Linked DNA regions of Sus scrofa. The protein of the gene in region 2 purifies or fractionates together with the protein of the main gene of each other region. This does not show direct contact. Links are inferred from orthologs where the notes say so. Each region holds a gene or a part of one and is shown on either strand. Other genes may lie near its edges. The genes, in order: VDAC3 and ABCC1.

What was found.
Region 1: the proteins of ABCC1 (region 2) and VDAC3 fractionate together in Homo sapiens (co-fractionation; 3 studies listed by BioGRID). This does not show direct contact. The link is inferred for Sus scrofa from reciprocal best matches to the Homo sapiens genes ABCC1 and VDAC3.

Annotation. Positions count from the first base shown.
Region 1 is NC_010459.5:11,404,190-11,415,813, forward strand, and holds the start of VDAC3 (voltage-dependent anion-selective channel protein 3), read left to right. Parts: upstream 1-6,195; 5' UTR 6,196-6,344; intron 6,345-8,807; 5' UTR 8,808-8,809; coding exon 8,810-8,876; intron 8,877-9,683; coding exon 9,684-9,733; intron 9,734-10,994; coding exon 10,995-10,997; intron 10,998-11,624. UniProt on the Homo sapiens protein: Non-selective voltage-gated ion channel that mediates the transport of anions and cations through the mitochondrion outer membrane and plasma membrane.
Region 2 is NC_010445.4:28,466,269-28,477,827, forward strand, and holds the start of ABCC1 (multidrug resistance-associated protein 1), read right to left. Parts: upstream 6,673-11,559; 5' UTR 6,501-6,672; coding exon 6,474-6,500; intron 2,033-6,473; coding exon 1,907-2,032; intron 1-1,906.

The DNA.
Region 1 (11,624 bases), on a different chromosome or scaffold from region 2:
ACACTGAGGCTCAGAGAGTTCAAGCAACTTGCCCAGGGTCACACAGCTAGGGACATGCAGACCTTGGATTTGAACATAAATTTTTTGGTTCCAAAGTTTATTCTTTTCTCTGTACCATACTGTACAGCTCATTAACTGAAGGCCAGTCCCCAAGGGATGTTGGGGAATATAATGATTTTCAGGTGACAACTGTAGGAGTAAGTCGCTCTCTTCTTTCTTCTTTTTTTCCTTTCTGCCCTGGCGCTCAGTGGCTTGATGTGGGATCTCAGTTCCTAAACCTGGGATAGAACATGGGCTGCAGCAGTGAAGGAGCTGGGTGCTAACCACTAGACCATCAGGGAACTCCGCAACCTCTTTTTCTTAAATTACCCTTTTTGTAAAAGGACCATAGCAAGTGATTCAGGTGAGCTAATTCACAGGCTGTCAGCCAGGCTGTTCCCTCGCTTACATGTGGAAAGTTGATGCAGTTGGTTTTCTTATTAAAAAAAATTTGTAAATATCTGCTGCCTGTTTGACATTCAATTTAGACTCTGACTGGTAGAATCAGAGTCTTTGGCCCCATAACTGTTCACAAAGGAACAGAGAGCTTGGATGAGGCGCTCTGGGGGCAAGCGGAGGGCAAGGGTTGTCACCCTGACTGGGAATGCCAGGCTCAGTTCCTGCCCGACAGGGTTAGAAAGCAATCTTTTTCTTTTTTAGAGCCACACCCGTGGCACATGGAAGTTCCCAGGCTAGGGTTCGAATCAGAGCTACAGCTGCCAGCCTACACCACAACCACAGCAACGCTAGATCCGAGCTGCATCTGTGACCTACACCACAGCTCATGGCAACGCCGGATCCCCAACCCACTGATCGAGGTCAGGGATCAAACCCTCGTCCTCATGGATACTAGCCGGTTTCACTACCGCTGAGCCACAAGGGAGCTCCTTGGTTAGCTTTTCTTTACCTTGGTTCCTTCCGCCCCCTTGTGGCCAAGAGTGAAGTGAACACCCAGAAGGCCCAACGTAAGTTCCAGGTACTGATCCCAGAGGCATTTTCCAGCTTGGGAGGGAAATTCTCTATGGAACAGAACCCCTTCTCATGAACCTAGGTACTTCCCCATCTTATGAAAGTGAGTTCAAGTTTTCTAATTACAATAGAAACACGTTTTGTTCCACCCTTATTTTTTTAACTGATCATCAAATTTACCAAAACACATGGCTGTACCATATTTCAGAATATGAATGTATTATAGTTTAAGAAATCCTTTAAATGTTGGCCATTTAGGTTGCTTTTAATTTTTTTGCTACTGTAATTCATTCAAGATATTCAAAATAAATCTTTGCACAAGTCTGTTTCCTTGAGTCCAGTCCTCAGACATAGAATGTCAGGGTATGAAATTAACATAAAATATAAAACAACATAGTCTTGAATCTCTGTCCCTTGTGCTGGGAGCCCTTTCCCTCTCATCCACCTGACTCATCCTTTCACCGCTGGGTCCCTGGGCTCCGAAGTTTCCTTGGAAGAGGCCCAGGGACAGGGCTTGCACCTCCTCTTCTCCAAAGTTGCCATCAGCTACTCGATGCATCCTCGCCCTCAGTGTCAGAATTCTGGAGTCCTTGAAAACAAGTGGGCCCTTTCTTTTTAAAGAAACAGGGACTTAAATAACACCACTGACAGAGTTCCCGTTGTGCCTTAGCAGTAAAGAACCTGACTAGTATCCATGAGGATGAGAGCTCAATCCCTGGCCTTGTTCAGTGGGTTAAGGATCCAGCATTGCCAAGAGGTGTGGTGTAGGTTGCAGAGGTGGCTCGGATCCTTCCTTTCTGTGGCTGTAGCTAGAGGTTGGCAGCTACAGTTCCAATTTGACCCCTAGCCTTGGAACTTCCATATGTCACAGGTGCGGCCCTAAAAAAGACAAAATAAATAAATAATACCATGGCTTCAGAATCTTAATTTTCCTTCCACTCAGGGCCATGGAGTCGTCAAACCTTCACAGTGGGGCTTCTCAATTTCGTGGGGTCTTTTTTTCTTTTCTTTCCTTTTTTTTTTTTTTTTTTTTTTTTTTTTTTGGTCTCTTTGCCTTTTTCTATGGCCGCTCCCGTGGCATATGGAGGTTCCCAGGCTAGGGATCTAATCGGAGCTACAGCTGCTGGCCTACGCCAGAGCCACAGCAATGCAGGATCCGAGCCCCGCCTGCAACCTACGCCACAACTCACGGCCACACCAGATCCTTAACCCACTGAGCAAGGCCAAGGATCGAATCCGAAACCTCATGGTTCCTCGTCGGACAACGGGAACTCCTGTTTTTCATTTCTGAAGGAAAAACTATACTAACCTAAGATTCTCCCTCCCAAAGGTACTCAGGCAGATGAGCAAGTTTTCCGATTAGAGCAGGTGATCTGTGTTGGGGGCCCCCCTGGAACGCACATGGCATGCACAGGTCAGGGACATGTCGGGGTGTGTGCTCAACCATGAGCACGGTGCCCTGTACATAATGAGCACTTGGCAAATGTCTCAGCAGCAAAGTCTAAAGCCCTGTCCCTGCTCTAAATTTCTGACTCCAGAGATTTTACAGGAGAAGAACGCCATGTTATTAGGATTTTTTCCTATGCTTTCTGCACGTCCCCAGAGTTTTAGAGCCCAGTGTGTGCGTGCATGCATTTGTGTGTGTGTGTGTGTGTGTGTTGGCAGGGTGAGAACCTGCTATAATTTGGAGGTGGCCAAGGCCAGAGGCTTGATATGGATGTTCAGTTATAACGTGGATCCTGCTTAGCCGACAGGACCAGAGGGACAGGAAGCAAAGGAATGATTCCCTCTGCAGCTGCTGTTTTCCTTAATTTCTTTCATCACTTTCCTGCAGCACGTGCTGGGGGAAAGAGGAGTCTCTCCGTGCATGACCTGGGACAGGTGTTTTCAGGAGAAAAGTCTTTGGGATTTCCCTTGTGGCCTAGCAGATTAAGAATCCGACGTTGTCACTGCTGTGGCACCAATTTGATCCTTGGCCAGGGACCCTCTGCACGCCTCGGGCATGAAGCCAAAGGAAGAAATGTTGCCAAATTCCCATTCAAAGTGCCTTTACAAGGAGTTCCCATTGTGGTTCAGCGGTAACGTGCCAGACTAGTATCCATGAGGTTTCAGGCTCAATCCTGGCCTTGCTCAGTGGCTTAAGGATCCAGCGTTGAAGTGAGCTGTGGTGTAGATTGCAGACATGGCTCAGATCCCGAGTTGCCATGGCTATGGAGTAGGTCTGCAGCTACAGCTCTAACTGGACACCTAGCCTGGCTTTCATATGCTGCAGGTGCAGCCCTACAAAGGAAAAAAAAAAGTGCTTTTTACAACCTTTAATGGCCTGCTTTACCAGACAAAGGCCACGTCTGTGTCAAAGTACAGGCTGGAGTTCTGGTTCTGATATTCATATGTACCTGAATAAACAGAGGTTTGCCTGTATAGCTTTGAATCACTTACAGCGTATTTTCATCTTGTGTAATTAACTAAAGAACACTTTCCATATGTCAGGTAGATTGTTATGTGCTATGGACACATGATTTCGCTTACTATCCACTTCAACACTCTGAAGCAGACCTTACTTAGTTATGTTGCATGGACGTAGAAGCTGAGCATAGAGAGGTTAAGCCGCTCAGCAAAGACCAGAGTTGGCCGAGCTGAGATACACACCCAGGCTCTTTTGACTCCAAAGCTCATTTTATTTAGCCTACTAAGTTATATTTGCTTTGCTGATAACATTGATCTTATTCTGCCTTCTTTGGCAGGTATTTGTCCAAGTCTTCCATTATGAGTCCTTTGGGAGCATTCATCTCACTTATCTCTTATTAGCCTGAAATGCTTTACCTCCAGCAGGGAAATAATATTTGTCTTTTTTTTGTTTTTTGTTTTTTCTAGGGCCGCTCCCACGGCATATGGAGGTTCCCAGGCTAGGGGTCCAATCGGAGCTGTAGCTGCCGGCCTACGCCAGAGCCACAGCAACGCAGGATCCGAGCCGTATCGGCAACCTACACCACAGCTCACGGCAACCCCAGATCCTTAACCCATTGAGCAAGGCAGGGATCGAACCTGCAACCTCATGGTTCCTAGTCAGATTTGTTAACCACTGTGCCACAACGGGAACTCCCAATATTTGTCTCTTGATTCAAGCAGCAATCTGGTATCAATGACTGAATATCAAAGACTTCGTGGGGGTTTTTTCTCCCTAATTTTTTGTTTTGAAAAAAAATTTGTTTTGGCTGTGTCCAATACACATGGAAGTTCCTAGGCCAGAGATCAAACCCCTGCCACAGCAGTGACCCAAGCCACAACAGTGACATTGCTGGATCCTTAATACACTGTGCCACAAGGGAACTCCTAGTTTGAAAAATTTTAAACTTCTAGCAAAGTTTAAAGAATAATGCAACAGGAGTTCCCGTCGTGGCGCAGTGGTTAACGAATCCGACTAGGAACCATGAGGTTGCAGGTTCGGTCCCTGCCCTTGCTCAGTGGGTTAACGATCCAGCGTTGCCGTGAGCTGTGGTGTAGGTTGCAGACGCGGCTCAGATCCTGCGTTGCTGTGGCTCTGGTGTAGGCCAGTGGCTGCAGCTCCGATTTGACCCCTAGCCTGGGAACCTCCATATGCCGAAGGAGCGGCCCAAAAAATAGCAAAAAGACCAAAAAAAAAAAAAAAAGAAAAAAAAGAATAATGCAACAAACATCCATATATTATCCAAACTTTTTAAAAAAAAAATCATTTATTTTTTGTCTTTTTTTCCCTCTTTTTTTAGGGCTGCACCCATGGCATATGGAAGTTCCCAGGCTAAGGGCTGAATAGGAGCTGTAGCTGCTGGCCTACGCCACAGCCACAGGAAGGCCAGATCCGAGCCATGTCTGTGACCTACACCACAGCTCATGGCAATGCCAGATCTTTAACCCTCTGAGCAAGGCCAGGGATTGAACCCGCATCCTCATGGATACTAATCAGATTTGTTTCCGCTGAGCCATGACGGGAACTCCTCCCAACTCTTAACATTTTGTACGTTTTTTCCTTCTTTCTTGACCATTTGATATTTTGCAGTCACATGCTATTTTACCCCTAAATACTTCAGCACATATCTCCTAAAAAGCAGGCCATTTCTCTGTAATCGGGGTATAATCATTACCCTCAGAAAATTTTACATTATCATCCTAATATTGTCGATATTAAAATCTTCTCCATTGTTCCAATAATGATCCTCAAAGGTTGCTTTTTGTTTTTTGATGGAGGGTGCAATTTAGGATCATATTCCTCTCGTCACATCTTTGTTTTGTCTCTTTGCTTTAGAACAGTTCACCAACCTTTTTCTTACTATCTCATGAAACTGACATTTCAGAAGAGACCAGGTGGTTGTTTTGCAGACTGTCCCTCAATTTGGATTTGTCCAGTTGTTTCCTTATGAATAGACAAATCACTCCTTTGGCAAGAATAGGAGCACATGATGTCAGTCTGTACCATCCCAAGGTTGATCACTTGGTTGAGGGTGATTTCTTTGATGTAAAGGTACTCTTTTCTCTTTACTAAGTAATCTGTAGGATGATTGGAATTGTAGGAATATCCTCAATCATTCAGCATCTACTGGTAATTTTTGCTTGAGTTAATTACTGGTGGTTCCAAAGTGGTGACTTTCTATTTCTATAATTTTTTGCTACATTTATGAGTTGGAATTCTTCTCTAAAGAAGTGTTTTCTGTCCTCCAGCGGCTCCTCTCTCTTTGAAATTATAACCTACCCTGTGTCATCTTGATGAAGTCATGTCTCTTACTGCCTCGGCATCTGTTTTCTCATCCTTAAGATGAGATGACCTAAAAGCCACATTCTTGAATGTTGTCATTCTGAGACGAAATCCCCATACAGACTTGCCAGGCATCCTCAGAAAACAGCGCGCAAGTTGCTTGGGCCAGCATCTATCGCGGAGTGGGCGGTGCCTCAGCAACTCCGCCGCGCGGCCCCGCGGCCCCTCCCCTGGCAACGGTTACTATTAACCTCTCCTTCTCGCGAGAGGGGCCTCTTTCGGGGCAGAGGTGCGGTCCCGGGGCCTGCGCGCTCCACGTCAACCACCGCCCAGCCCTGCGCGCTGGGTGCCGAAGCGCACGCGCGCACTCGCGCACTCGGACAGTTGGAGGTGTTGGTCCGCCTCGGGCCCGCGGCGCGCGACCCCGGCGCGACACGCACGCGCGCAGCCGCGGCGCGCAGCCGCGGCGCGGGGCTCGGGGCGCGCAGGCGCCGCGGGCGTGGGGCCGCGCAGGCGCGGACGGCGTTGGTCTGAAGAAGACCTTCAGCCGTGCCCTGGCGGATCCGACAGGCCCTCGTAGCGGAGCCGACAGGCCCTCGGGTAGGAGGTGAGGCAAGCGGGGCCCCCGGGCTGGCGGCTGGGGCGGGGCGGCTGGGGCGGCGACTGGCAGGGGCCCGACGGGAGGCGGCTAACGGAGGGCACGGGAGGAGAGGGTCGCCTAACGGGGCGCGGGCCGGCGGAAGGCGGGGCAGCGGGGACTGGCCCCTCAGGTGATGGGACGCCGCTCCGCCACCTGCTCCCCTCCTTGCCGGCCACTGGGGCCCTCGCCGGGCGTCGGGTCGGCCGGGAGGTTGGTTTTGAGGGAAGTTGGGTCTTCGAACCCCGAACTCACTCGCGCCCCCGGCTTTCTCTCCGGAGTCGGCGTCCAGCTTCGGGGGTCTTCCACTCCCTGCGGCCGGAGGGAGGATGCTGAATGCACTGCTTGACGAGCTGCCGGTCCCGTTAGTGATGGTGTAAAGCTGTGTTGCTAACCCACTCCCTCCCCCCGACTGCGGCTAATGCAGCCCCGGAACGCCGTGCACGTCCACGGGCGAGTGCACTTGTAGAGTAATGGAAACGTGTGGAACGTGAAGTCTTCTCGAGCTTTTGCTTGATCATACCAGCAGTGCATTTCCCATCAGAATCACGGGCCTGAAGAAATAAGCTTGAACCAGGCGAACTTGAGGTCAAATCCCCTATACAACTTTTGCAAAGTGTCTGGCAGTAGTTTTGAAAACGAGGCACAATGCTAAGAAAGATTGTAATTGGTTCCTAGATGATGTTTCTAAACATTTAAGTGTATCTTTTCTCTTGTCAATAGATTAAGGCTTTACAGTCTAGTTTTGTTTTTTAACGTTTCTGTTTGAATATATAGTGCCTGCTTTTCTCTGCTTATCTCCCAACCTATAGACTTCTGACACAATTTCAACAGATACCTGCGTCAGTTGTGATCATAAAGAATACTATCAGATTGCAATTGGCAGGGTGTAAAAAGTCTAGAATTGATTATTTGAACACAAGGGAGTGAATTGTAAATTAATTTCTCTGGACCTGAACTATGAAACCTTGTGGTTTAAACCAAAGTTTTATTATGCTATGACTCAGTACATTTATCTTCTTTTATCTTTTCTATACGCTTTCCTCTTAACTTTGTATGTATTTTTATACTATATCATACTGTCTATCGTATTTGACAGGTCTAAGTTAAGAAAGAAATTTTAAATGGATTCACAATTAAGAAGTACACCATAGGGGTTCCCATCGTGGCTCAGTGGTAATGAACCCAACTAGTATCCATGAGGATACAGGTTTGATCCCTGACCTCGCTCGGTGGGTTAAGGATCCAGCATGGCCCTGAGCTGTAGTGTAGGTTACAGAGGTGGCTTGGATCCTGCGTTGCTGTGGCTGTGATGTAGGCCAGCAGCTGTAGCTCCGATTAGACCCCTGGCCTGGGAACTTCATATGCCAAGGGTGAGGCCCTAAAAAGACCAAAAAAAAAAAAAAAAAAAAGGAGGTACCATAAAGTGTGTGTTGTGTTCAGGTGTGTTGGGATGGGACAGAAACTTAGCAGAGGGCCAGATTAAGAGCTAGGCTAAATATAAATAAATAGCAGATTGAATGTGTATTTGCTCCAGGCATAGCAATAGCAAGGGCTAGCTGGTGCTCTAGATTTTTCTAGAGTAATGGGGAGTAGTAATGGGGTTGCTTGAAGCAGTTCTACAGTTGGTTAGACATGGCTTTTGAGGATACTGTAGGAGGAGATTTCCTGTTCTGCAAAGAGGGCAAAGGAAGCAGCAGTGTCGATAGGCCTGAAGATTTTGATGTGAGGGTCATATTGGCAGCAGAAAGGCTGTCTGAATAGTAAGTAGACAGGGTGAAAGATCAAGCAAGCACCTTGGGTTTTTGAAGGCTTTAACTTGAGAGTATACACTGATTTTTGTTAAGCCGATTACTTCAGGTAGAATCTAGCCTATTTCTGGCTAATAGGTAAGATTATAATACTTTATTTTAAGAGCTTTGAGAGAGGGCATATTCTGGATGGGTGTATTTCACTTATTCTTAGTTTAAGGACTGAATTTCAGAGTAGCCAAAATGTTAACCCTGAAGATTTTAAATTGCATCTCTTTTTCAGTTCCTCAGAAAATTTACCTTGTCATCTTATACAGCTCTTTGGCTTTATAACAGCCCAAGAAATACTTTTCTAATGTAAGTTTTTGCATTTTTAAAAAGTAAAAATATAGTTTTAAAAAAGCGTCTCCTTCAGCCTGTGAGAAATTTCTTTTCTTGGAAAGAGGTCAGAAAGATGACCTCTGTGAGTCTCATGAAAAAACCCTTTTATTCTCCAGTGTTCTGGAAAGCTCTTTTTAAAGGAGCAGAATGCTTTCTCTTAACCTTGCTGCATTAGGGTATAAGCATTAACGATGCAGAGGAAGAAAAAAATGTATACCTCTTTTCACAGGACCAAACAGTTGAACACAGAATAAATGCAAAATGGTTATTTTCATTCCTTTGTCCTCATTTTTTTTTTAAGATATGTGTAACACACCAACTTACTGTGATCTAGGAAAGGCTGCCAAGGATGTCTTCAACAAAGGATATGGTAAGTGTGCTATTGTAAATTACCAATTTGGGTAAGCATTAATACTGTATATATTAAGCTATATGGGAGATACTGTACTTGATAAAATGAGGTTAAGTCAACATTAATCTATTTCATAAGATTTAAGGGGATAACTATTAGCAGATTACTAGATCTCTTTTTTTTTTAGAGTTAGAGGCCCTCAAGCATTAAAAACCATTGTGTACATAAGCACATTTGCGTATTTTATATTATCTTTTGGGTGAAATAATATAAATCTGCAATATTTTGCTAGGGCCTTTTGCTAGGCCCTGGGGACAGTTAAAGTAGGGGACATATTTTTGCTCCTCCAAATAATGACAGTGCTTTCATTATTTGAGTGAAGATACAGCTTTTGACTTCTTTGGAGGAACATAGAGTGTTTGAAACCAAATAGACATTTATCTTTGGTGTTTAAATTTTTAATTTTTCGTGTTGTACTCATTTGATTTTTTATTTACTAATAATGTTAATTGTGTATTTTTATATTTAAAGCTTGTGTATATGTCTACATAATTTCTCTTAATTTTGATTCTTAAAATAGTATATGTTCCTTTCATCCATTTGTTTTTTAACTCATTTCAAAAATATGCCTTTAGTATTTTGAGGGACTTAAAAATTATACTTATTTTGTTATAATTCAGTTTCTTGTGGAACTCCCACTTAGTGAGAATACTGTGTATTTTCCATATAAAATGTACTGTGGAGTATTTTCATAATTTCTAAGTTGCAAAGACTAGAGTGCATGTTACATTTTGTACATTACTGTGTTTTTATGTGTGTGTCTAGGGTTTGGCATGGTCAAAATAGATCTGAGAACCAAGTCATGTAGTGGAGTGGTAAGTACTTAATGTATTTTTAATATATTTGACATAATTATCTTAAAGAAACCTGTTTAAAAATCATTGTTTTTTTTTTTTTTTTTTTTTTTTTTTGTCTTTTTAGAGCCGCATCCACAGCATATGGAGGTTCCCAGGCTAGGGGTCCAGATGGAGCTATAGCTGCCAGCCTACACCACAGCCACAGCAACGCCAGATCTGAGCAGCGTCTGTGACATGCACCACAGCTCATGGCAATGCCAGATCCTTAACCCACTGAGTGAGGCCAGGAATCGAACCCACAACTTCATGGTTCCTAGTCAGATTCGTTTCCGCTGCACCATGGCAGGAACTCCTAAAAGTCATTGTTTAGTCAGATTACTTGAATCACATGCTTTTCCTGCTAAGCTGTCTTCCCTACAGTCTTCTCCTCCTCTCAGGGAGACCCTTTGTGTCTGTCATAATAAGAGTGTTCTGAGTCTTATTCTTAAAAGGCGTGGTGTATGTATACACACACACACGTATATATGGGGGCATATATATATATATATATATATATATATTCCCATGTATATGCATTTTTTTTTGACCTATGCCATATCTTTATGCTTTCATGAATATGTATGTGGACACTAAAATCTTTGCCTCCATTATACTGGGTTCATGCAAATTTTATTGTCTTTTTATAAAAACAAAACTGATTTTAATCCTTTCATGATTAGTTGAAACAAATGTAGAAATACATGTAGAAGATTAGTCTACAGTACAGTTTTTATTGATGTTCATGAAATCTTTTTTACTGGAAGTTAAGAATATGGTAAGGGCTTATCAGCATATTGTCACAGCACCTTTAACTAGAGCTTTTATTCAGTAAGTCTCAGCATGTCAACTTGAGAGTCAATTTAGTCTTTGACTTCTCCTTATTGACTGTACCTTTTTTGTTTGGTATTTACCTGTTCGAACCAGTGCAAATTGTATTTCTGGATATAATGATTTAATTATAAAGATAAGAAGCACGTGGAGTAGTTATGGTACTGTGCCTTACATTCCGTATAATCCTGGTTTGTCACTATTATTCTTTCCCTGGGTTTTCCAAGGGTAAATATGTATATATCTGCCCTTCAGGATGGGATTTTGTTATATTGTCTGTTAAAATAGAAAATTTATACTCATTTCGATTAGGGTTTCTAAATTTGCTCAGGGTAGGTTTCTGTTGCAAAAATCAACAACTGAAATTTTTATCTCCCTCTCATGCTGCTGTTGTGTGGAAATATTCATTCAGATGGTAAGAAAAATAGCATATTTGTGTGCTTGTTTTTATGGCTGCTTTTTCTCTGGTACTGATTTAGGATAAATTTCAACCATTGCTCCAAATTTCTTAGATCATATCTTGATATTTTTGTGATACGTCATCTATAACAGTAACATGTTTATGAGTGTTTTGTTGTATACTAGCATTTAATGGAAAACTGTAGATATTATATGCATGTTATAAATAAAAATTTTACACTAGATAATTGTTTTATCTAATTATGCAATTAGACTAGAGTGGAAGTAACTGTGAGACTGGAACTCTGCTTAGGAAAATTCTGACCTTCTCTTTGAGATTTGTACCTCTGGCATTTTAGATTTTTGATAGAGCTTCAGACTAAGAAATGTCTGCTGATAATAAGAAAGAAATGTAGACTAAATACTCTTTTACCTTTTTTGCACGAAAATTAAGGTTTGTATTTGCTAATCTTTCAAGTTTATAAAAGGTACATATGAAAAATAAAGCATTAGGTAGTTAGATATATTAAAAGAAAGCGATATGACCTGTTAAACATGACCAGCATTTATCATTTTTTACCAAGGCCTTGCCTAAGTGTGCAGCATGATACTCTCTTTGAAAGCTTTCTGTGTGGTGCTGATA
Region 2 (11,559 bases):
GATCCCAAAGTGCTGCGGTCCCCCACGGCGCCTCCACTCACCCCCCAGCTGCTCCAGCCAGAAATATATCTGTCCGTCTGTCCTCATTCGTCCTCCTCAGTCCCCCACGCCGACTCCCCACCTCTAACCCATCAGCCACTCACGCTGACTCTGCCACCAAAGCCCATCCTCCATTTACCTGCCCCTCACCCCGGCCCCGGCCTCCATCCTCATGCCAGGTGACCCGCCCCCCAGAGCCCCACTGGCCTCCCAGGTTCCACCCCTGCCCCACAATCCATTCTCCACTCGGGGGCCATGGTCAGCTCTTAAACAGGCACATCTGGGCACAGCAGAGCCTTGTTCAAAACCTTTCCCTTGAGGAGGTGGGTTTTAACCTGGGGTCCAAGGACAGGCTCTGGATAGAACCCAGGGGTCCTTGAACTTAAAGAGGACACAAGTCCAGCTTCACGTTCCCTCATCAGCACCACCGCTTACAAGTGAAAGAAAAGGAAAAACAGAGACAAAGAGAACTGAACAAGTCTCAGACTATTACACACGGGCCGTCCCTATTTGGACAGCAGATCTTGATCTGAAATGCATTAGTAAAGCATGGGTATTTTTACTTTGCTTTTTATTATTTTATGTATTTATTTATTTTTTAGGGCCGTACCCATGGCACGTGGACGTTCCCAGGCTAGGAGTTGAATCACAGCTGCAGCTGCCAGCCTACACCACAGCCACAGCAATTCGTGATCCAAGCTGCATCTGTGACCTACACCACAGCTCAGGGCAACACTGGATCCTTCACCTACGGAGCGAGGCCAGGGATCAAACCAGCTAGTCTTCATGGATAATGGATACTAGTCAGGGTCCTAATCCACTGAGCCACACTGGGAACTCCCTCAACTTGGCTTTTTAGGTTTCTGTGATTAAAGATCATTGGTTTCCCAGCCTAAATGTCCTATAACTAAAGCATGGATAAGCAATGTGGGCTGAAGCCACACATCAAATATACCAAGCAACTCTGAAAAAAAAAGATCTTCTGAACTTCAGGGGCTGAGAAGTCAGACTCAGGCTGCCTGTGTGGTTCCATCCACATGACATTCTGGAAAAGGCAACCCCATAGGGACAGGAAACACAGCAGCAGTTGCCAGCGGAGGAGGTGGGGGAGGGAAGGGCTGACGACAAAGGGGCCCATGCCAGGGAACTTTGTGGGATGATGGAACTGTCCTATATCCCTAATGTGGAGATGGTACCTAACCTGACACCATCTGTTCGTCAAAACTCATGAATTGTTCAAGGAAAAAGGTTTACATAAATTAAACTTCAGTAAAAATACAAATGCACATCACAAAATTGCACGTGTGTGTGTGTGTGTGTGTGTGTGTGTGTGTGTGTGTGTAGGATGGTTTCTTTTGTTAGCTTGTATGTTTTATGACTTTAAGAACATTTTTTTGAGAAGGAGACAGGACTGGTAAAGAAGAAAGGGACCCATGGCATTTAAAAAAGGTTTAGAACCCAGCTTTGGGGATGAAAAACAAGATAGAACCCACTTACCCTGAAGCTCAAGGTCCTATATGGTCAGCCCTCTGCCCTTCCTGCCGTCCCAGCCCCCTCCGCTCCTCCTCACTCTCTCTGTCCCCAGCACACAGACCAACTCTCAATTTCTCCCTCTACCCCACCCCAGGACCTTTGAATGTGCTATTCTCTGCAGCTGGATCATCCTATGCCCCCAGTCCCTTCAACTTTTTGATACCCTGCTCATCCTTTGGGCCTTAGCTCCATCACCCTTTCCTCTCTGGGCCCCCCACAAGACCAAACCAAATTCACCTAACACAGCCAGATTGCTGGATTTCTACTGGGAGATCCTGTTGTTTCTAAATGCCAGCCACTACTTTTGGTCTCCACAGTGCCAGCCCCTACTTACCATGGTGACGCCCAAGAGGGTTGGGCTGACCAGAAACACTGGGGCCAGGAGCTTGCCCAGACTTCTTTCCCAGAAAGAGTAGAAGAGGTCTGCCCAGCAGACAATCCATAGCAAAAATCCCAAGGCCTGAAAGAGAAGTACATGTACATCTTACAATGGCTGGCACCGGAACTTCCCCCAGCATCCCTGCAAAAGGCCTAGCCTCTAGAGGACCAGCCAACCCCCAAACCATCAGCTGTGGTCTTTGGAGTCAGCACGGACCCTATGCAACACAGACGAGCCCAAGGTAGGGGGAGCCACCATCGGGGCCGTCACATACTGGTCTGCAGCCCCTCCCACACCCCAGACACAAGTCTATTTGTCTGCTCAGTATTCTCCTCGGCACCTGAAAACTCAAGTCTCCGGCTCATCTACATCCGCAACCCTGGCAGCCAGCACGGGGCCCCTCACATAATGGCCAGGTATCAACAGCATCATGCATCCAACCAGAACTTACTGGGGGTCTAACTATGGGCCACATACTCCCCAAGGTGACAAGGATACAACAGAGAAAAAAACAGACAAAAGTCCCTGCCTTCATGGAGCTTTGATTCCCCTGGCAGGAAACAGGCAAGCAACAATCTAAAAAATACATACTTACTTTGTAGGAACATGGGTGGAACAGAGACTCTCATGCTAAGTGAAGTAGGTCAGAAAGAGAAAGATAACTACCATGTGATCTCACTTATACCTGGATCTAATATACGGCACAAATGAACCTTTCCACAGAAAAGAAATTCATGGACTTGGAGAACAGACTTGTGGTTGCCAAAGGGGAGGCAGAGGGAGTGGATGGACTGGGAGTTTGGGGCTAGTAGAGGCAAACTATCGCATTTGGAGTGGATAAGCAATGAGATCCTGCTGCATAGCACAGGGAGCTGGATCTAATCACTTGTGATGGAACATGATGGAGGATAAGGTGAGAAAAAGAATGTATATATGTATATACATACAATCTGGGTCACTTTGCTGTACGAAAGAAATTGACAGAACATTATAAATCAACTATAATAATTTTTAAATAAAAAACAAAATAAAATAAATAAAAAATACATACTTTCATACCAGAGAGGAACAAATGACACGAGGTGAAATAAAACAGGTAAGACAGGGTGGTCAGAGAAGGCCTCTCTGATCAGGAGACATCTGGGTAAAGAGCCAAGAGTGACTACTTGAAGGAAAGAACAAGTCAGGCAGAGGAAACAGCAGGTGCAAAGGTCCTGAGGTAGGAATGTGTTCAGCAGGTCTGTGGCTGCTGTGGCATGGGCTGCGTGTGTGGTAGGAGGTGGCTGAAGAGGAGCCTGGAGCCAGATTGAATTGGGCCTGTAGGAGGACGTCCAGATGTTATTCCCTGTGAAGAGAAGCTGCCAGAGGGCTGTTGAGCAAGGCATGAACAAAATCTGATTTAGCTTTTAAAGGGAGATATTCTTCCCCAAGAAAAGTACAAAGTGCTCCCAGAGGTCTAAGAAGAAGACACTGTATCTAGTTGAGGACAGGGGAGCAGACAGCATTTTGAGATAGGCTTGGATTGTGGTCCGAATGAGATGGATTTGGGTGGCAGTATTAAGGGCGAGGAGACAGCTTCAGTAAAATCACTCAAGTTTTTCCTGTTTGCCAAGGGCTTATGGAAATAAATCTTGGGCAATACAGTCCTGATAGGAGTTCCGCAGTGGCTCAGCAAGTTAAGGACCTGGCATTGTCATTGCTATGGCTTGGGTCACTGCTGTGCTGTGGGTTTCATCCCTTGCCTGTGAATTTCTGTATGCTACAGGCACAGCCAAAAAAAAAAAAAAAAAAAAAAAAAGGACTGATAAAGACAAATTTCATATGCGATCACTAATACGTGGAATCCGACATAAAAAAAAAGATACAAAAGAACTTACTCACAAAACAGACTCGAAGATTTCAAAACCAAACCTATGGTTACCAAAGGGAAAACACTGGGGGGAGGAATAAACCGGGAGGTCGGGATTGATAAAGACACACTTCTATATCTAACATTCTTAAGTAACAAGGACCTGGGGTACAGCACAGAGAAATCAACTCCATGCTCTGTAATAATCTACATGGGAGAAGAATCTGAGAAGGAATGGGGTACGTACATGGATAATGGAAGCATTCTGCTGTGCGCCAAAAGCCAACGCAACAGTGGAAGTCGACTAGGCTCCAATAATTAAAAAAAAAAAAAAAAAACTGATACATGGTATAGAAAAAAATTTTAATCTAAAAAGATAAAAAAGGACAGACACACGCCAAGAGGAGAAAGAGGGATGAAGAACAGGATGTACAGGTATCCTCCACGTCTCCCCAAAAACATTCATCCTTACAGGGGACAACCAGAACCTGCCCAGTAGAGAAAGCAGACACACCCACCAAATGATCAAAATTAAGCCCATCAGGAAGTTCCCCTGCAGTGCAGCAGGTTAAAGATCCAGTATTCTTACTGCTATGGCTTGGGTCACCGCTGGGATACGGGTTCCATCCCTGGGCCAGAAACTGCCACAGGCCATGGACATGGCCAAAAAAATGCAAGCCAATCAGGGAGGGGCAGATGGACACCAAGGGGCCTTAGATGTAACCCAGAGAAGGACCCCACATCCCTTTTGTAGTTTTCTAGCCAGACAGGCATTAGCTGAATCTAATCGTGAGGAAACGTTGCCCCAACACCCAAGTTGGGGAACGGACAAAATTAACTGGTCCGCATTCTCCAAATATGCCAGTGTCATAAAAAATAAAGGTGAACAATTCTTCCAAAATTACAGGAAAAATAAACAGACAGTGTGTCTAAATGCAGTGTATGACCCTGGACTGGGGGGAAGAGGGTGGAGATGCTAGAAAGGGTAGTATTGGGACAAGTGACAAAAATGGAACATACATAGTAGTTTTTTTGTTTTGTTTTTTTTTTTTGTGTGTGTGTGTGTGGCCATACCTGCAGCATATGGAAGTTCCTGGACCAGGGATGGAATTCCAGCTACAGCTGTGACCTAAACCACAGCTGCTGGCAACACCAGATCTTTAAACCACTGCCCCAGGCCCAGGATCAAACAGGCATCTCTGGAGTGACCTGAGCTGCCACAGTCAGATCCTTAACCCACTGAGCCTTGGAGGGAACTTCTCATAGTAGACTTTTTTTTTTTTTTTTAAGTATCATGTCCATGTTAAATTTCCTGAACTTGATAACTGTCCTGTTATGTAAGAGGATATCCCTGTTTCGAGAAAAGATATATTGAAGAATCAGGGGTAAAGGGGCGGGATGGATGCTAGCTATTCTCAAATGATCCAGAAAAAATAAATAATATGTATCTATGGAGAAAGCAAAAGAGTGAGATGAGGTTTGAGTTCCCGTGGTGGCTCAGTGGTAACAAATCCGACTAGTATCCATGAGGATGCAGATTCGATTCCTGGCCTCGCTCAGTGGGTTAAGGATCCAGCATTGCTGTGAGTTGTGTTATAGGTCACAGACACAGCTTGGATCCCATGTTGCTGTGGCTGTGGCCGGCAGCTGCAGCTCTGAGCATGTCTTTCAACCCGGAGCCTGGAAACTTCCACATGCCTCGAGTGTGGCCCCAAATAGACCAAAAAAAAAGGGGGGGGGAGAAAGGGATGATGTAACATGTAGCAAATGTTAAAAATTGGTGACTGAGTAAGGTGCATACCAGGCTGCTGGGAGTGCTAAGTACTGTTCTTGCAACTTCTCTGTAGTTTGAAATTTCTTCAAGATAAAAGCTTTTTTCAGTTAAAAAGACATCTTTGGTCAAATCTCTGGATGAGCTCCTGAGATAAAGTCTATCATCCCCACTGATATGATAAGTTAACTGAGGCTCAGGGAGGTTAAGAAAGCTGCTCAAGGGAAAAAAATTTTTTTTCTAGTTCTTTAATTTAGTATCTATATGAGATGGTGGATGTTCATGAAACTTACTGCAATAATCATTTCATGATGCATGCCCGTCAAATCATTAGGCTGTACACTTAAACGTACACCATGCTGTCTGCCTATTATATCTCAATAAAACCGGAAGAAAAAAAAGACATTTGCTCAAGGTCATACAGTGAGCCAGTGGCAGAGTCCACATCTGAACACACATCTGAACCCAGAGCCCTAGCCTTTACCTATGAGGTTATTATTCCTTCTTTCTTTTTTTGCCTTGTCTTTTTAGGGCCACACCCGCGACATATGGAGGTTCCCAGGCTAGGGGTCCAATCAGAGCTGTAGCTGCTGGCCTACACCATAGCCACAGCAACACCAGATCCGAGCCATGTCTGCAACCTACACCACAGCTCACGGCAACACCAGATCCTTAATCCACTGAGCGAGGCCAGGGATCGAACCCGCAATCTCATGGATGCTAGTCAAATTCATTTCTGCTGAGCCACAATGGGAATTCCTATTACGTTATCATTCTGTCTCCTAGAAAAGGAACTCAGGGCCAAGTAAGTAGCAGAAACATGACAGTTTTCACAACCACCACTCCCGACCCCAGCACACCCACACCCTGACACACACATCACGATAAAACCCGTGACTTACAGTTTTGGCTTTGTTGAGATGTGTCATCTGAATGTAGCCCCGGTCATGGCGGGAGAGATAGAGGAAGTAGAAGGGGAAGCAGACCCAGAGGTAAGAGCAAGGCACCCACACGAGGACGGTGTTCTGAAAGCACTTGGTGAAGTCGGGGTTGCTGGTGTTCCACGTGACGTTCCACTCCTGCGGAAACAAACACAGGCTCAGGGTCAACGGGGTGCCCTAAAGAGCTTGGGCAGGGGGCCAGTGTGGAGTTCAAAACCAGCTGCTGTGGGTTTTAAGAAAACAGACAAGACCCCTACAACTGAGGCCCTCGCAGAGAGAACAGGCAAACTGGAACGAGCGGTAGCCAGAAAGACCACAAAACAAGGAATGAGGGATGATGGTATGTCTCCTCTCACCCACCAGTTAAGTTCCTGGGACCTGTGGCAAGTTCCATTATTGTACAAAAGACGGTAGACTGCCGTTTAGAGGAATCTCTAAAGGTATTCTGGAAACAGAGGCATCCTTTAGTTACATAAATCATTTCTCCTTTGCAATCTTGTGAATTAAGAGCTTTCTAATATTCTCCCCCAACACCATGATCTCCATCGGCATCAGCATCACTGTCATCACTAACATGACCACTTTCATCAGCACCATCATCATCACCATCATGACCACTTTCATCAGCATCATTAGCATCATCACCATCAGCATCATCACCATCATGACCACTTTCATCAGCATCATCAGCATCAGCATCATCAGCATCATCACCATCAGCATCATCACCATCAGGACCACTTTCATCATCACCATCAGCATCATCACCATCATTACCACTTTCATCAGCATCATTAGCATCATCACCACCAGCATCATCACCATCATGACCACTTTCATCAGCATCATCAGCATCATCACCATCAGCATCATCACCATCATGACCACTTTCATCAGCATCATCAGCATCAGCATCATCAGCATCATCACCATCATGACCACTTTCATCATCACCATCAGCATCATCACCATCAGGACCACTTTCATCAGCATCATTAGCATCATCACCATCAGCATCATCACCATCATGACCACTTTCATCAGCATCATCAGCATCATCACCATCAGCATCATCACCATCATGACCACTTTCATCAGCATCAAGAGCATCAGCATCATCACCATCATGACCACTTTCATCTGCATGACCACTTTCATCAGCATCATTAGCATCATCACCATCAGCATCATCACTATGATGACCACTTTCATCAGCATCAATAGCACCATCACCATCAGCATCATCACTATCATGACCACTTTCTCTCTTTGTTGTTTTCTCTTGTTTTTTGTCTTTTTAGGGCCGCACCCAAAGCATATGGAGGTTCCCAGGCCAGGGGCCAAATCAAAGCTGTAGTCACCAGCCTACGCCACAGCCACAGCAATGCAGGATCCAAGCGTGTCTGTGACCTACACCACAGCTCTAGGCAACGCCGGATCCCTAACCCATTGAGCAAGGTCAGGGTTCGAACCCGTGTCCTCATGGATACTAGACGGGTTCATTAACCACTGAGCCACGATGGGAACTCCTATCACAACCACTTTAATCAGCATCATCACCACACGACTGCTTTCATCAGCACCGTCATCATCACTTTCATCAGGACCATCAACACCACCAATCAGCTCTATCATGTCACTTTCATCATCATCACCACCATTAGTGTCAGCAGCATGGATAACACCCAATCTGCAAGGTTATTTTTTTTTTGCTTTTGCTTTTTTAGGGCCACACCCGTGGCATATGGGGTTCCCAGGCTAGGCGTCGAATCAGAGCTGCAACCACCAGCTTATGCCTCAGCCACAGCAATGAGGGATCTAAACCTCGTCTGCAACCTACACCATAGCTCATGGCAACGCCGGATCCTTAACCCACTAAGCGAGGCCAGGGATCAAACCTGGGTCCTCATGGATGCTAGTCAGATTTGTTTCCGCTGAGCCATGACAGAAACTCCCCAGACTGCTCCAGGCCCTATTCCAAATTCCTTAAATGTACTATCTCCTTTAATTCTATAATTACCATTCCTTTTTCAGAAGGGAAAACTAAGGCACAGAGAGGTTGAGTGATCTGTGTAGTATTTCAACAGTCGGTATGATCTGACTGTTCAAACTCAAACTCGTGTGATTTGGTTCTGAAGTGCCCACATTTAACCACTAAAGCTATCCAGCCCTGAAAAGAAATTTGTTTTCATTACTTTTATTTTCTCAGAAACCACCTGTGGAGTTCCCTTCGTGGCTTAGCAGTTAATGAACCTGAGTAGGATCCATGAGGATGAAGGTTCAATCCCTGGCCCCACTCAGTAGGTTAAGGATCCGGTGTTGCCACGAGCTGTGGTATAGGTCAAAGAGGTGGCTCTGATCCCACATGGCTGTTGCTGCGGCTGTGGTGTAGGCCAGCAGCTACATCTCCAATTTGACCCCTAGCCTACAAACTTCCATATGCAGCAGGTGTGGCCCTAAAAAAACAAGCAAAAAAAAAAAAAAAAAACTTAGGTTAGCTGCCAACATTTAAAAGCAGGAAATTTCACATTTTAAAAAAATGGATTTCTGGTATCTCTTTAAAAAAAAAACAAAACAGAAAACTAGCAGCACTGGGCCCATATTCCCACTTCACAATCATTAAGGGGGGCTAGGTTGTAGCTGGTCTCTGGATAAGGTGCAGGCAATCCAGCTGGCCAGTCCCCAGGCAGCCCCTCCCCAAGCATCCTCTCTCCACCACCGGACAATGAGCTCTCCAGACACCTCCAGGCAGCTCCGACTCCAACAGCCTTCCCACAGTCAGATAAACGAGATCACCAAGGAACTCTAGGGACCATGGAGTCTGAGGACTCCACACAAGCTACCTCAAGTACATCAAAGAACGTTAAAGAACAGAAAGCAATGGGACCATGAGGATCATTTCACTTAGAGACATTTCACGATCGATCAAAATATTTGTTCCTAGCTTTTCAAAAAAGAGGCCTAGCTGCACACAAGAGCGTGAGCATACTTAACACTACTGGAGTGTACACGTAAAAACATTAAGATGGTTCAATAAGAAAGGGAGTTCCCGCTGTGGCGCACCGGGATCTGCGGTGTCTTGGGAGCGCTGGGACACAGGTTCAATCCCTGGCCTGGCACGATGGCTTAAGGATCTGGTGTTGCCGCAGCTGCAGCTGAGTGACAATGTGGCTCAGATCTGATCTGTGGGCTTGGGAATTTCGGATGCCATGGGGCAGTCAAAAAAGAAAGAAAACATAAGATTTGGAATTCCCTGGTGGCTTAGTGGTTAAGGATCCAGTGTTGTCACTGCTTTGGCTCAGGTTAGTGCTGTGGCACAGATTCAACCTCTGGTCCAGGAACTTCTGCATACCTTGGGCAAGGCAAAAAAAAAAAGGAAGAATTTGACTTTTTTTTTTTTTTTTTTTTTGGTCTTTTTTAGGGCTGCAGCCATGGCATATGGAGGTTCCCAGGCTAGGGGTCAAATCGGAGATGTAGCTGCCGGCCTACACCACAGCCACAGCAACATGGGATCGGAGCCACATCTGTGACCTACAACACAGCTCAAGGCAATGCCGGATCCTTAACCCACTGAGCCAGGCCAGGGATTGAACACGTGTCCTCATGGATACCAGTCGAGTTCGTTACCACTGAGCCGCAACAGGAACTCCCAAGAATTTGACTTTAAAAAAGACAGAACGCCCTAGGTATTAAATAAGCAAGTACTCAAACTGGTTCTTCAGAGGTATAATTATTTGATGATACGAAAGGTTATTTTTCCAGAACCAAGAACAAGGAATCACTGAAAAGTAAATTTGAACAGGTCAACACACACCAAAGGATTTAGCTAGGAAACTTCTAAACCTGAAAAAGGATAAAGGTCACGCCTCTGTGGACATGGGCATTGAGAAGACAGCCTTGGAAATAAGAATCTGGTCATCAAGAGCTGTGGTTTATGTCAAAGACTAATTTGATGAATTCATACCTCTTATAATTCTTAAGCTGCTGGTGGAAAGGGGATTAAACTGCTGGTGGCTATTACATACAAAACAGTTTCTGAGCAATTGCCAGAAAAAGCTCATTCCAAAGGAATCTGCCTTTCTAGTAAGAAAACAATGCTAGGACTTAATATATACAGTTACGTATATAAGAAGCTCAGTTTGTATGTGAGACTTCAATAACCTGATCCTTGCCCCAATGACCCCCTGCCTGGGTTTGCAGTAGCGTCCTACCCATTTCCTGCTTCCGGTCCTGGTCCCACTTAGTCCTCCTCAGGGCAGCTCATCTATCCATACATCTCTGCATCCACCCACAGACAGAATTATCCTCCCATCTGTGAACCCATCCATCCACCTACCCACCCATCCATGCACCAGTGCATCCATCCATCCATCTACCCATCTCTCCATCCACCCACTCCCACAACCCACACATCCAAGCAGCCAGCCACCCACCCATCTACCCACCCACCCATCCACCTAGGCATCCATCCATGTCTCTCTCTCTTTTTGTATTAATTCACTTTCACTAGATAATTTATTTACGTGCTGAAGCCTTCCCAAACTACACAAAATGGCATACTGTGAAAAGTAAGTTCTCCTTCCTGAACCAGCGGCACCCCCCTCTTACCCCACAGGCCAAATTATCATTGCTAACATCTTGTTACTCTTCCAAATACAGCTTACTTTGTTTCTGCCAAAGGTACCATAATACAATACTGGTTCCACACCGTGCTTTTTTCACTTAACTAATATTAGAAACCAATCTCTACCAGTGCCATAGGTCTTTTTTTTTTTTTTTTTTTGGTCTTTTTAGGGCTGCACCTGTGACACATGGAATTTCCCAGATTAGGGGTTGAATCAGAGCTGCAGCCATCAGCCTACACCACAGCCACAGCCACATGGGAACCGAGCCGCATCTGCGACCTACACCACAGCTCACAGCAACACCAGATCCCCAACCCACTGAGCAAGGCCAGGGACGGAATCTGCATCCTCATGGATGCTCGTCACAGTCGTTTCTGCCGAGCCACGACAGCAACTCCGATCTCCTTCATTTTTGATAGCTT